3 linked regions of the Arabidopsis thaliana genome follow. The protein of the gene in region 1 interacts with the protein of each later gene in a pairwise test. Each region holds a gene or a part of one and is shown in the gene's direction. Other genes may lie near its edges.

What was found.
Region 2: the proteins of HB34 (region 1) and HB22 interact in a two-hybrid assay, tested with the Arabidopsis thaliana proteins (one study listed by BioGRID).
Region 3: the proteins of HB34 (region 1) and AtHB23 interact in a two-hybrid assay, tested with the Arabidopsis thaliana proteins (one study listed by BioGRID).

Annotation. Positions count from the first base shown.
Region 1 is NC_003074.8:10,939,708-10,943,642, reverse strand, and holds HB34 (homeobox protein 34), read left to right. Parts: upstream 1-1,809; 5' UTR 1,810-2,106; coding exon 2,107-3,045; 3' UTR 3,046-3,338; downstream 3,339-3,935. UniProt on the Arabidopsis thaliana protein: Putative transcription factor.
Region 2 is NC_003071.7:15,347,211-15,350,806, forward strand, and holds HB22 (homeobox protein 22), read left to right. Parts: upstream 1-2,000; 5' UTR 2,001-2,116; coding exon 2,117-2,201; intron 2,202-2,320; coding exon 2,321-2,715; intron 2,716-2,800; coding exon 2,801-2,878; 3' UTR 2,879-3,080; downstream 3,081-3,596. Other genes in the region: RPL24A (ribosomal protein L24), read right to left, coding at 3,338-3,494, 3,589-3,596. UniProt on the Arabidopsis thaliana protein: Probable transcription factor.
Region 3 is NC_003070.9:9,353,941-9,358,005, forward strand, and holds AtHB23 (homeobox protein 23), read left to right. Parts: upstream 1-1,886; 5' UTR 1,887-2,185; coding exon 2,186-2,291; intron 2,292-2,372; coding exon 2,373-2,743; intron 2,744-3,008; coding exon 3,009-3,299; 3' UTR 3,300-3,562; downstream 3,563-4,065. UniProt on the Arabidopsis thaliana protein: Probable transcription factor.

The DNA of each region.
Region 1 (3,935 bases):
CCACTTAACTGATGTTTGATGGTGGTGTACGAACCGATTGAGAGATAATTAAAAAAAAAAATCGAAGGATCATATTTTTCGTGTTTGGTTACCGATCGATAGGTTGAATTTCTCGGTCCAATGATGCAATCATTCGTTGGAAAATAATTTGTGATTTCAGAATCCAAAAACATGCGTACAATACGACCTTCTTATTTGCCAATTCATTTGTATAGTGATTATTCTCATCACTATGGTTTAGTCATCATTGGCTTTGTTCTGAAATGTTTTTCTTTATTTTTTTTGGTTTTAGCCGTATTTTGCTTGTTCGAAAGAAGGAGCAAGTTGTGATGCTCTTGATGTGATCGCCCAGAAGAAACTTTGGCCACCGACTTCGTTTTTCTCGGCGATGGTCGCTTGGTACGAACACATTGGCCTTGGCCCATGGCGTTTGCTTGATTGTTTGTACACACCACCGCACATGACAGAGAATCATCAAAATTTGAATATTTTAAATAATAAATATAAATTACATATATTTAGTAAGTTCCGATACTAATTTAGATTTTAGTCTATGACCTTGAATGACGGTAGTTTTTAGACATTAGGTCTTAGTTTTAAACCCAAAAGACCGAATTTGATATAGGATCTATTTATGGTAACCGAAGAATTTAACTGCATATGACTAAAGACATGACTGGTTTAATTGCAGCGGACGGGGCTGTGGTTTCGCTTGCGGTTGCGGAAATTTGCGGAAGCGAGATATTGTGGTTTCAAGCGTTTTAAACGACTAATTTAACGTTTCAAAATAGATGCATTTGCAGAAATCTTATGACTAGATGCAATAATAATTAAATAAATAAAAAAGATCCAAAATAAATATAATATATAGGATTAGATACAAATATGAAAAGATATATACAGAATTATATATATTTATCTTAATTACAAATATGTTGATTATTTATTATTATTTTAATATTTTAATTCAACCGCTACCATCCACAACTACAAACGTTTGCGGGAAGGAGTTTTTGAAATGTATTGATATCGAGCGATCCGAGCAGTATCCCGCGATTTATATGATTATTGTCAATCACTAACAATTGTTACCACATGTAAATGATGCGTTTGCATGTAGTAGAAGGAGAACCAATCAACCCCTTAACTGATGATGGCTGAATTTATTTTAAAGGTGGCTGAATGACTTCAAATGATAACCACTGAATTTATTTGAGATTATTCATTTTTCAATATAGTTACCTGCTGGTAACATATATTTCCTCCATTCATAATAATATCGTTTTAAATATTTTTATATAAATTATTAATATATATTATATTTTAAAAACCAAACTGATTCATACTTTATAGATTTTACATTGAAAATTTAGAACAATACTTATTTTGGAAAAAATCTTTAAACAACAAAACAGAATAAGTATTTTTTTTAATATTATTTTGTGAAAAACAACTATTTAGTTTACAATAATACCTAATAGTATAAGTAAACTTTTACAAAGTTGTTCGGTAATTACATTGTAATAGTCAAATATACAAAATGCTAAACATATTTTAACAGAAGGAACAAATATTAGAATAAAGTAAAAAGAAGCCAACTTCAAAAAAAAACAAGAAGTGTCACAATGCATGAGAATATTAATTATAATTGGACTGTCTTTAGGTTTAAGACATTTATTACTCTATATATATTTCCCCACTCCCTATTACAGGTCCCACTTTTAACCATACATTTAACCATAGTTAAATCATCAAACCCTACCTTTCTCTGTTAAACATCTTCAAGCTCTGTCCTTTTATTTTAAATATATTTATTATTCACATTTATTAACATTTTTATATCTCTCCCTATTAAATTATTTTATTCTCTCTTAGCAACATTCATCAACCAGAGCAGATTCACTATCATCATCTTATAACACATCTTCTTCCTCTAAAGTTTATTTTCTTAAACTTATTACAAAAAACATGATCTTCAAAAGTTGATTTAATCTCTTTTTATCCATCTTCTTCTTCATTTCTCAATATCAAACTTTTCTTTTTTTGTAAGCTTAACATAAACCCTAATATTTTCTTGATTTTTTTCAAGAAAATAAAAACATAAAGATGCTTGAAGTTAGATCAATGGATATGACTCCAAAATCACCAGAACCCGAATCCGAAACTCCGACCCGGATCCAACCAGCTAAACCAATCTCTTTCAGTAACGGAATCATCAAACGCCACCACCACCACCACCACAACAACAACAAAGTCACTTACAAAGAATGTCTCAAGAACCACGCGGCGGCGATTGGTGGTCACGCGCTTGACGGTTGCGGCGAATTTATGCCGTCTCCTTCGTCAACACCTTCCGATCCAACTTCTCTCAAGTGTGCAGCTTGTGGTTGTCACCGTAACTTCCACCGCCGTGAAACTGACGATTCCTCCGCCGTTCCACCACCGTCTCTTCTTCCATCTTCAACAACAACCGCCGCAATTGAGTATCAGCCTCATCACCGTCATCATCCTCCTCCTCCGCTAGCTCCTCCGTTACCACGTAGTCCTAATTCATCTTCTCCGCCGCCTATCTCTTCCTCCTACATGCTTTTAGCTCTCTCCGGTAATAATAAAACCGCACCGTTCTCAGATCTAAACTTCGCCGCCGCGGCTAACCATCTCTCCGCCACGCCTGGCTCGAGGAAGCGATTCAGGACGAAGTTTAGCTCAAATCAGAAAGAGAAGATGCATGAATTCGCCGATCGAATCGGTTGGAAGATTCAGAAACGTGACGAAGACGAAGTTCGTGATTTTTGCCGTGAGATCGGAGTTGATAAAGGTGTTCTCAAAGTTTGGATGCATAATAACAAAAACTCCTTCAAATTCTCCGGCGGAGGAGCAACCACCGTGCAGAGAAACGATAACGGTATCGGCGGCGAGAACAGTAACGATGATGGAGTTCGCGGTTTAGCTAACGACGGTGACGGTGGTGGTGGGAGATTTGAGAGTGATAGTGGAGGAGCTGATGGTGGCGGAAACGTAAACGCCTCGTCGTCTTCGTCGTGAAGAAGAAAACATCATGTCGTTTTGCAGGGAAAGAGTTATAATAATGGAAGCTTAAGCTTTGTTTTTAGCTTTAGATCATAGAGAGTAAGCACTGGTATTATTATCGTTAATACGTTTTATTAATATTAATTAAACTCTTTTAGCTCTTTTTTAATTTTCCAATTTTATTATAATTTCATTACCACGACGTTGTCTTATTTTTCCATTTAAAGTAAGTTTATATCAACAAATTGGATTATGTTATAATAAGTCAATTTTGGTTAATTTAATGAACCCTAATGAGGAAAATTTTATAACTTTAATGTTTTTTTTAATAATATGTTTTTTGGCTTCTTATCTTAAAAGCATTTTGTCTTTTTAAATTGTAACGTTCCCAAAGGTTTCATAATACTTTTCCACTAATGGAAAGATTATATGAACTAATCACCCGAATTAGTCACAACACTATAGGTCAATTTAGGTAATCAAACGAACCCTAAAATGTGAGTCCCAAACATAAATAAACTATTGCAATTTAGTTAATTATTTAATATTATTTGATGGTTTCTTATCTTGAAGAGTACTTTGTCGCTTAATTTAATATGCGATCAAACTAAGATCTAGGTGTCCTTTTCATAAATCTCTCTTTATTCTTTGAGAAAAGAGACAGGTTTTGTTTTATATATTAATTATTCTAATAATATATTTTGCAATGATTAGTTATCTTGGTGTCTAATTAACAAAAGATTCATCGGATAATTCATTTTAATTTCCTCATTAATCCATTTCTTTATCATCCTTACATTCCCACTATCCGTTTTTGGTATATATGCTCAAGTGTTCGATATTCTTAAAGTGCAAACTACAAATAAGTATATATTATATAATTGGGATCTAACTATTATTATTAA
Region 2 (3,596 bases), on another chromosome or scaffold:
AACCGTTGGTTTTGGTGTTTAACTAACATGGAATTTTGACCTATAAAGAAGGAAACAATTCTAGTGAGCTTCTTCTTTATACGAAAACATTCAGTAAATGACACAACACGCTGCTCTCTTGAGCTTTATTTCTCTGTAACTTTATACTATATGGTCCTCGTTTTTAGATTATCATAATATAGCTTTCTTCGTAGTACTATTTAGTATTTACTCACTCAATTTATCACTTCTACACTCTCTCTATTCATTGGATTGTGACAATAATAGTTACGTATCTCGATCCCAAAGTGTTGAATTCAATAGATTTTAACAGGCTTTATACCTTCAGCTTCTAACAGAGATGCTTCTTGATTTAGCTTAGAACTAGCAGATAATAAGTAGATCTCTTTGGCATCTTTGATTATCCATCATGCTCCTGATGGTTAATTATTCTGTTTATATGTAACTTTTATTGTAGTTACATTCTCATTATTGATCCCTTCCAACATTGATGATCAAATATATCTTCGATCGGGATTCAAAAGAGCCTTTAACTAATTACTCTTATCTTCTAGCGTTTGTAGGATTTTTGTTCGCTTTCATTAACATATGTGAACACGAAAAGTTAAACCAATTTTTATGATTATAATCTATTACAAATTTATTTGGTTTACATTGTTTTATTTTAAGCAAAATCATATGGGACTAGTGGCTCTTTTTCCGTTTCCCAACTTATACGTGTTTTCGATACCACATGTTATATAAAAAATATATATAATTAACAATATTTCCAAATGCTTATGAAAAATTAATAATGATTTAGATACAGTTTTGTTTCTGGTAAAGATGTATAAACTAATACACAAGGGAGAAATAAATTATTAAAAAAAAGTCAGTTTAAAAAAATTAGGATCACCGGTTAAGATTTTTTTCTTTGAAAATCTTTTATTTTTATTCAATCCAATGACTTGATACAGAAAAAATATCCCCATCTTGAAATCACATCAAAAATTGGCTGATGTAGTTGTTACGTGCTTTGGAAATGGAACAAAATATACTTATGTCAGTCACAATTAACGTTTAAACCGTAGAATTTGATTTAGAGAAACATAACTAGTGCTAGAAACTTCATCTTTATCTAACCATATAAGCATTTACCATTTCTTCAAGATAAGTTGCATCATTCAATTTCTAACTATACTTTATCGCCGGATCATACCAAAAAAACACGTAGATCGATATGATGATACTATTTTCACTAGTGCACTGTGTGCTCCCAAATTTTGTCAGGATCAGAATTGGACCCTTCTGATCTATCTGTTGGAGTAGCACCCTGCAGCTCCACAGTGTTAAATAAAGATTGTGGGGACTTTACAAATACATATACATACAAAGAGATGAAAACTGGAGGCTATATTACAGATTGAGAGTAGAAGTTTGAATTCATATATGTCAGATTGGTTGGTTAATTAAGGTAGAGAAAGTGATAGACATTTGTACAAATGTAGAATCTGGACCATTCTCTCTTTTCTTTTTCACCTCTATCTCTTACTCTTACTGTTCCTTTCTCAACTCACATTACTTTCATTTTATTTTATTCTTTTATATATACTAAAATCCACATTAATTGGTCACGTATAATACGAAATACCTACGTTATTACTTATGTAAATATCTTACTTATGGAAACATACAAGGTCATGTGAGAATATGAGAATAATAATCAATTTTTAACAAAAATTTCAAACTAAATAATCACCATTAACTTTTTTTAGCTCGTTTTGTATCGTATAATGCATTTGCTCAACACCGCCTATTCTTACCCTCATCGTTCGGAGTACTATTTGTTACCGGTCAGACTAATGAAACCATTCATTTACACATATATTTATCTTACTTGATAGTGACCAATTAGTTACCCGAAGTTAAAAACAGAAGCCCTAGCGTTTTCAACCACATTTACTTATCTATATATAATGTTCCTGCATGTTCTAACATATGCATATAGTGATAAAGATACACCCATATCAAACACCCAAAGTTGCTCATTTCCTTGTTTAGGTAAAAAATAGTCTCTTGAAAGTGATTGTTGTAAGCAGAGATAGACAAAAGAGGTAAAAAAAAAGAAGAAGAGAAGATGGAATATTGGAGCAGCTCCTTCATCGATGGCGCGTCTTCTTCCAGCTTCATCTCTCCTTTCTATAACTTTGACCATTTTTCAGGTAACATGCATCCATAGTACTAGGTTTTAGTAGAGCTAGTTTATATGCTTAATGCTTAATCATTCACTCAACTGTATGTCGCTTTACAAGTCTCTCTCTGTCTTGTATTGAATTTGTAGGAAACCAAGACAACAGATGTTTAGGTACAATGATGGGTGCACAACAAGATATACTTCATGTTCCTCTAGCAATGGTAGAGAGTGGCTATGGAGAAGAAAGCAACAGTTTTAATGGACAGGAGAAGAAAAAAAAGAAGATGACGAGCGAGCAGCTAAAGTTCCTCGAGAGAAGTTTCCAAGAAGAGATAAAGCTGAATCCGGACAGGAAGATGAAGCTGAATCCGGACAGGAAGATGAAGCTGTCCAAAGAACTGGGGCTGCAGCCGAGACAGATTGCGGTTTGGTTCCAGAACAGGAAAGCCAGGTGGAAGAACAAACAACTTGAGCATCTCTATGAATCACTAAGACAAGAGTTTGATATTGTCTCTAGAGAAAAGGAATTGCTACAAGAAGAGGTAATTACTCCAGTGATCAATACTAACTTAATAAATAAGCTTTCGAGTTACAATCCATTGAGTTACTTTCACTTTGTTTCAACAGCTAATACAACTGAAATCAATGATAAGAGAGGATAGTTCATGCAAGAAGAAACAAACCTGGGAAAAAGCCTGCAGCTGAGGCAATAGTATATAAGTTCCACTTCAGTTATATCTCCAAAATGGCTCAAATTTGTAGCTTTAGTCCCAAACAAGCAACAATTTCTATGGCTGATTCTGTTTTCCTTTGTATTAAGTATTGTTTAAGTGATTTTCGTGTAAAGGGTTCTTTACTAAGTTGAAGTTAATGAAGAAACATCGTGATTCAAGAACTCTAGATCCATAATCAATGCTTAACCAAAGCTCAATTTAGCTCAGACCACTAATAATGTCCTAGAATAAGCCAAGTTGAAAATTCTATTTAGCAGTTTTTGGATCTACGAGTAAAACACAAGGGGATTGATACCAAACAAAAAGTTTTCATAAACTGAATATATTAGATCTGGTGCAAAACTAAAAAATGGCTGACAAAACAAAACAATGTCAAAACAAGAAAGAAAGATAAGTGAAGAGAGAAGAGTGGGCTACTCTATAGCTCCATTCAACGTCTGCCTCCACCACCACCCATCTTAGCAGCCTTGGGTGCAGCACTCTTGGGGATATTTCCCTTCACTTGTGACTTCTGTTGCTTTGATGCATACTCGACCTTCTTTGCCTTCTTCTCGTCCTTGGTCTTCTTGATTCTCTCCTTGATCTCACTGCATAATCATCAGATTAGCTTTGAATCAATCACATTTCAGTTTCAAAAAAAAATTGATGTATATAGTGACTGTCTTCGGGAAAGAAACAAACCGTAGGGC
Region 3 (4,065 bases), on another chromosome or scaffold:
GCCTAAAAGTAAACTAAAAGCATAGTTTGCTAACTCGTCAGCAAAACGGTTAGCTTCCCGATAAACATGCGAAACTCGGACTATCCAGTCCTTTGATGAGAAGCCATAGCACAAACGTACTAGGAATGACAACAGATGAGAGTCTTCTATCCCTGTCGTGAGAAAACCAGCCACCAATTTTGAATCTACCTCAAGCTCCAGCCGCGTTATACCCTTCTCCCAAGCTATAACCAACCCGTAGTACACACCCCAAAGCTCTGCTAACGGAGCCGTGCACCGCCCTAAATTCAGGGCAAAACTTCCTCGCCAATCCCCGTACTCGTCCCGCAAAGCTCCTCTTTTTCTGTTATTGTAGTGTGTGATTTGGCTTGTTCTCGCAAACATATATACCAACATTAAACAATACTCAAGTTTGTCCCCCCAAAAAAACTAATACTCAAGAAAATATACAAGTTGTTTTTCCATTTCAACAATTGGCCTTAGCCATATGTGTATACTACAATTTAAGATTGCATAATACATTAAGAAGGAATAGGCTTGCAATGTGATTTTTTATTAAGCAAAAAAATGAAAAAATATATATTTTGTGTACACCTTTTGATACTAAATGAAAAATTGAGCATATTTATTTATATGCGTTTGTTTGTATGTCGTTGAATTGCACTTTTCATATCTCATGCAACATAAAAAATTCATAGAATAAATAGTTTATGCTTTTAGATAAATACAATTGAGGTTAAAACACACAAAAAAGAACAACTCGTGGTAATTTATAAAATAGTTTCAACAAAAATATTTAAACTTGTAGAATATAGACTTGTTGATTACAAAATGATTTGATAGGGAGACCAATTTATACAGTAGTTGGGCCTATATTAAAGTATTTTATCATAAAACCGACCAAAACGTCTAAGAAAGTTGATAAGTGGGGGACCTGAGAAAGAGAAGAAGAAGAAGGAAGAAACCGGCCTCGCATATAAAATGGGCTTTGTGTCAAAACACAATCTGCGGTGATGAAGAGCTTTTTGTGTCCCCCGAAAGTATGTTTACCTACCATAGAGAAAAAGTCATGTTATGTTGTAAAAGGTTTTAAAAAGAAGAAGTCTAATCATATCATAGACTAGTGAGAGTTACCATGTAGGACCTTAGAGTTTGCTTTCATTTCATATCATTGAGACATAGACAAGTGATACCATGTAGGGCCTCTAAGAGTTTGCTTGCATATACTTCTTGACGACCAAAATCACTAGTTTTAGTTCTCGTTAGAAATAAAATTCCATTGACTTGAACACTTATGCATGCAACCATCCAAATGCTTATGTAGGGCATGCTGTTAAAAGAAATTTTAATTAGATATCAACTTTGAAATATTTCATTAAGAATATCAGTTTTTTTTACATATCATATTTAAATTCAACTCTTTTTTTGAAGAGAAAGTGGTAAGAGTATCTAGATCTATAAACTCCCAAAATTTGAAGTATTTGTTACAAATACTCAAATTGTTCATTACGGTACATATTTAATTATACACATCTGAATTAAATATATTCACAATAAATTAATTATGATAATCTAGTGGTTGAAAAAATTACTATTAAATTGAGTGACCATAATCTAATCAATTCACTGTAATATCAATCATGGTTGACCACTGTAAACATCTTAAATTGCAAGAATATGCTATCTTTCACAATGTCCGGAGATTATTATGAATTTCGTTTCAAAAATTCTATAATAGAAAAATATACATATATAATTAGTATGACTATGATATATCTGTCTTTCTATTCGTAAAAAACAAGAATTATCTTTAAAAATACTTGATATGAAAAACTACATAGTACATATCCGTAATCTACCAAAACGGATACAACGTAGTAAAATTAGGGATTTTCCAAAACATACAAAAGCCCATATTCCACCCCTCCAAAGACTATAATCATCCCATGTCTACCTCTCTGTCTCATCGGCTTTGAGTCTTGTCTCCTATTTTATATACTCATATAATAAACAAAATAAAACCAAATTTTCTAATCTAGCTAGTATTTAGCCTATAAGTGGTGTATACTCAGTCTTCTAATTCATTTCACCACCATCCTTCTTCTTCTTTATTTAGTTTTCTTTCTGTACTTTGAACCAAGACAAGGTGGTGGAGAGGAGAAGAAGAAAACAACCAACAAGAGACATGTCTTGTAATAATAATGGCTTAGCTTTCTTCCCTGAAAATTTCAGTCTCCAAAACCATCACCAAGAAGAAGAAGATCACCCTCAACTTCTTCAAGACTTCCATGGTACATCATCTCAATTAACACCTTTGTTCAAAATTTCTAATCCTTTTTTTTTCTACTTCTCAAGATCTTCTCTGTTTTTAGGGTTTCTAGGTAAAAGATCTCCAATGAACAACGTGCAAGGGTTTTGTAATCTAGATATGAACGGAGATGAAGAATATTCAGACGATGGATCTAAGATGGGAGAGAAGAAGAGGAGATTGAACATGGAACAATTGAAGGCACTAGAGAAGGACTTTGAGCTTGGTAATAAACTTGAATCAGATCGAAAATTAGAGCTAGCTCGTGCCTTGGGATTGCAACCTAGACAAATTGCTATATGGTTCCAAAACAGAAGAGCTCGATCCAAAACCAAGCAGCTTGAGAAAGACTATGACATGCTTAAGCGTCAATTCGAAAGTCTCAGAGATGAGAACGAAGTTCTTCAAACTCAAAATCAAAAGCTTCAAGCTCAGGTAAAAGCAGAAACTTCATAACACAAAAGTACTCTGTTTCTTTTTTAATCTTAAATACTCTGTTTTTTAAATCATATATTTCATAAAATATGAATCTTTTTTAGTTGAATTTTATAAAAACAATGCTCTTTTTTGTTTTTTATTGATGTTATTCTTTCAGTTTCGAATTCATAATTTGGAATATATTTGTTTTAGGTCAAAACATAATTTGGAATCATTTTGCAATTTTACGTTCTTTCTTAAATAGTTTGTGTAAATTATGCAGGTAATGGCATTGAAAAGCAGAGAACCAATAGAATCAATCAATCTGAACAAAGAAACAGAAGGATCATGTAGTGACAGAAGTGAGAACATTTCTGGTGACATCAGGCCACCGGAGATCGATAGCCAATTCGCCCTAGGCCATCCACCGACAACTACAACGATGCAGTTTTTTCAGAATTCATCGTCAGAACAGAGAATGGTGAAAGAAGAGAACAGTATCAGTAACATGTTCTGTGGAATTGATGACCAGTCTGGGTTCTGGCCATGGCTTGACCAGCAACAATACAATTGAATGTGGTCGATCTGTTCTTGTTTGTATTAAAATTTTCGTTTTCTTTAAGTGGTCAGATGAACCAATTCATGTTTCAAGAATCTATATTTAGTCTATATGCACCAACTAAGCTAGTAGTTTTTTTGGGTAATGTGATGTAAGAGAATTAATGGGGGAAATATTCATCATATTATATGATAATTAATCAATCATATGGGCCATATGATTAGACATTAAAAAAAGTCTGAACCATGTGCTTTTATATCGTACAACTAATATCCAGAAAACTCTAAGAAATAAAAATTTTAAAAACCCACCCAAAAAGACTTTTCCATGAAACAAATTATGCTTATGTCATAATTAAGTCTATAAGATGAACAAAAATAGAAGACATGATCTTAAAAATAGATCATTAATTACGATTAGCGGTACAATAAACTGTAGAAATCATATAGTTAAATGGCACGGTTGAAGTAAAATGTGAAGTGTGTGAAAGAAAGAGCATCAATTTACAGATTCCGAGGAGAGGATGCAAACAAATAGGGTTGGAAAGTGGTCATTCTCTTTCTGAAAATGGACCCAACACTTTTTACCCTTTCATCGACACTGACATTGCCCGACGACTCCAAATTTGTTATTCATATAAGCCATCTCTTAGGCTATGAATGGTGACATACACCGTACCCAAAACCGCACCGCAACAGTGTCAAAATCTCTACATATACATATGTATTTATATATTTTTGTTACTATTTGAACCGCACCGCACTTCTTCCGTACCGCAAAA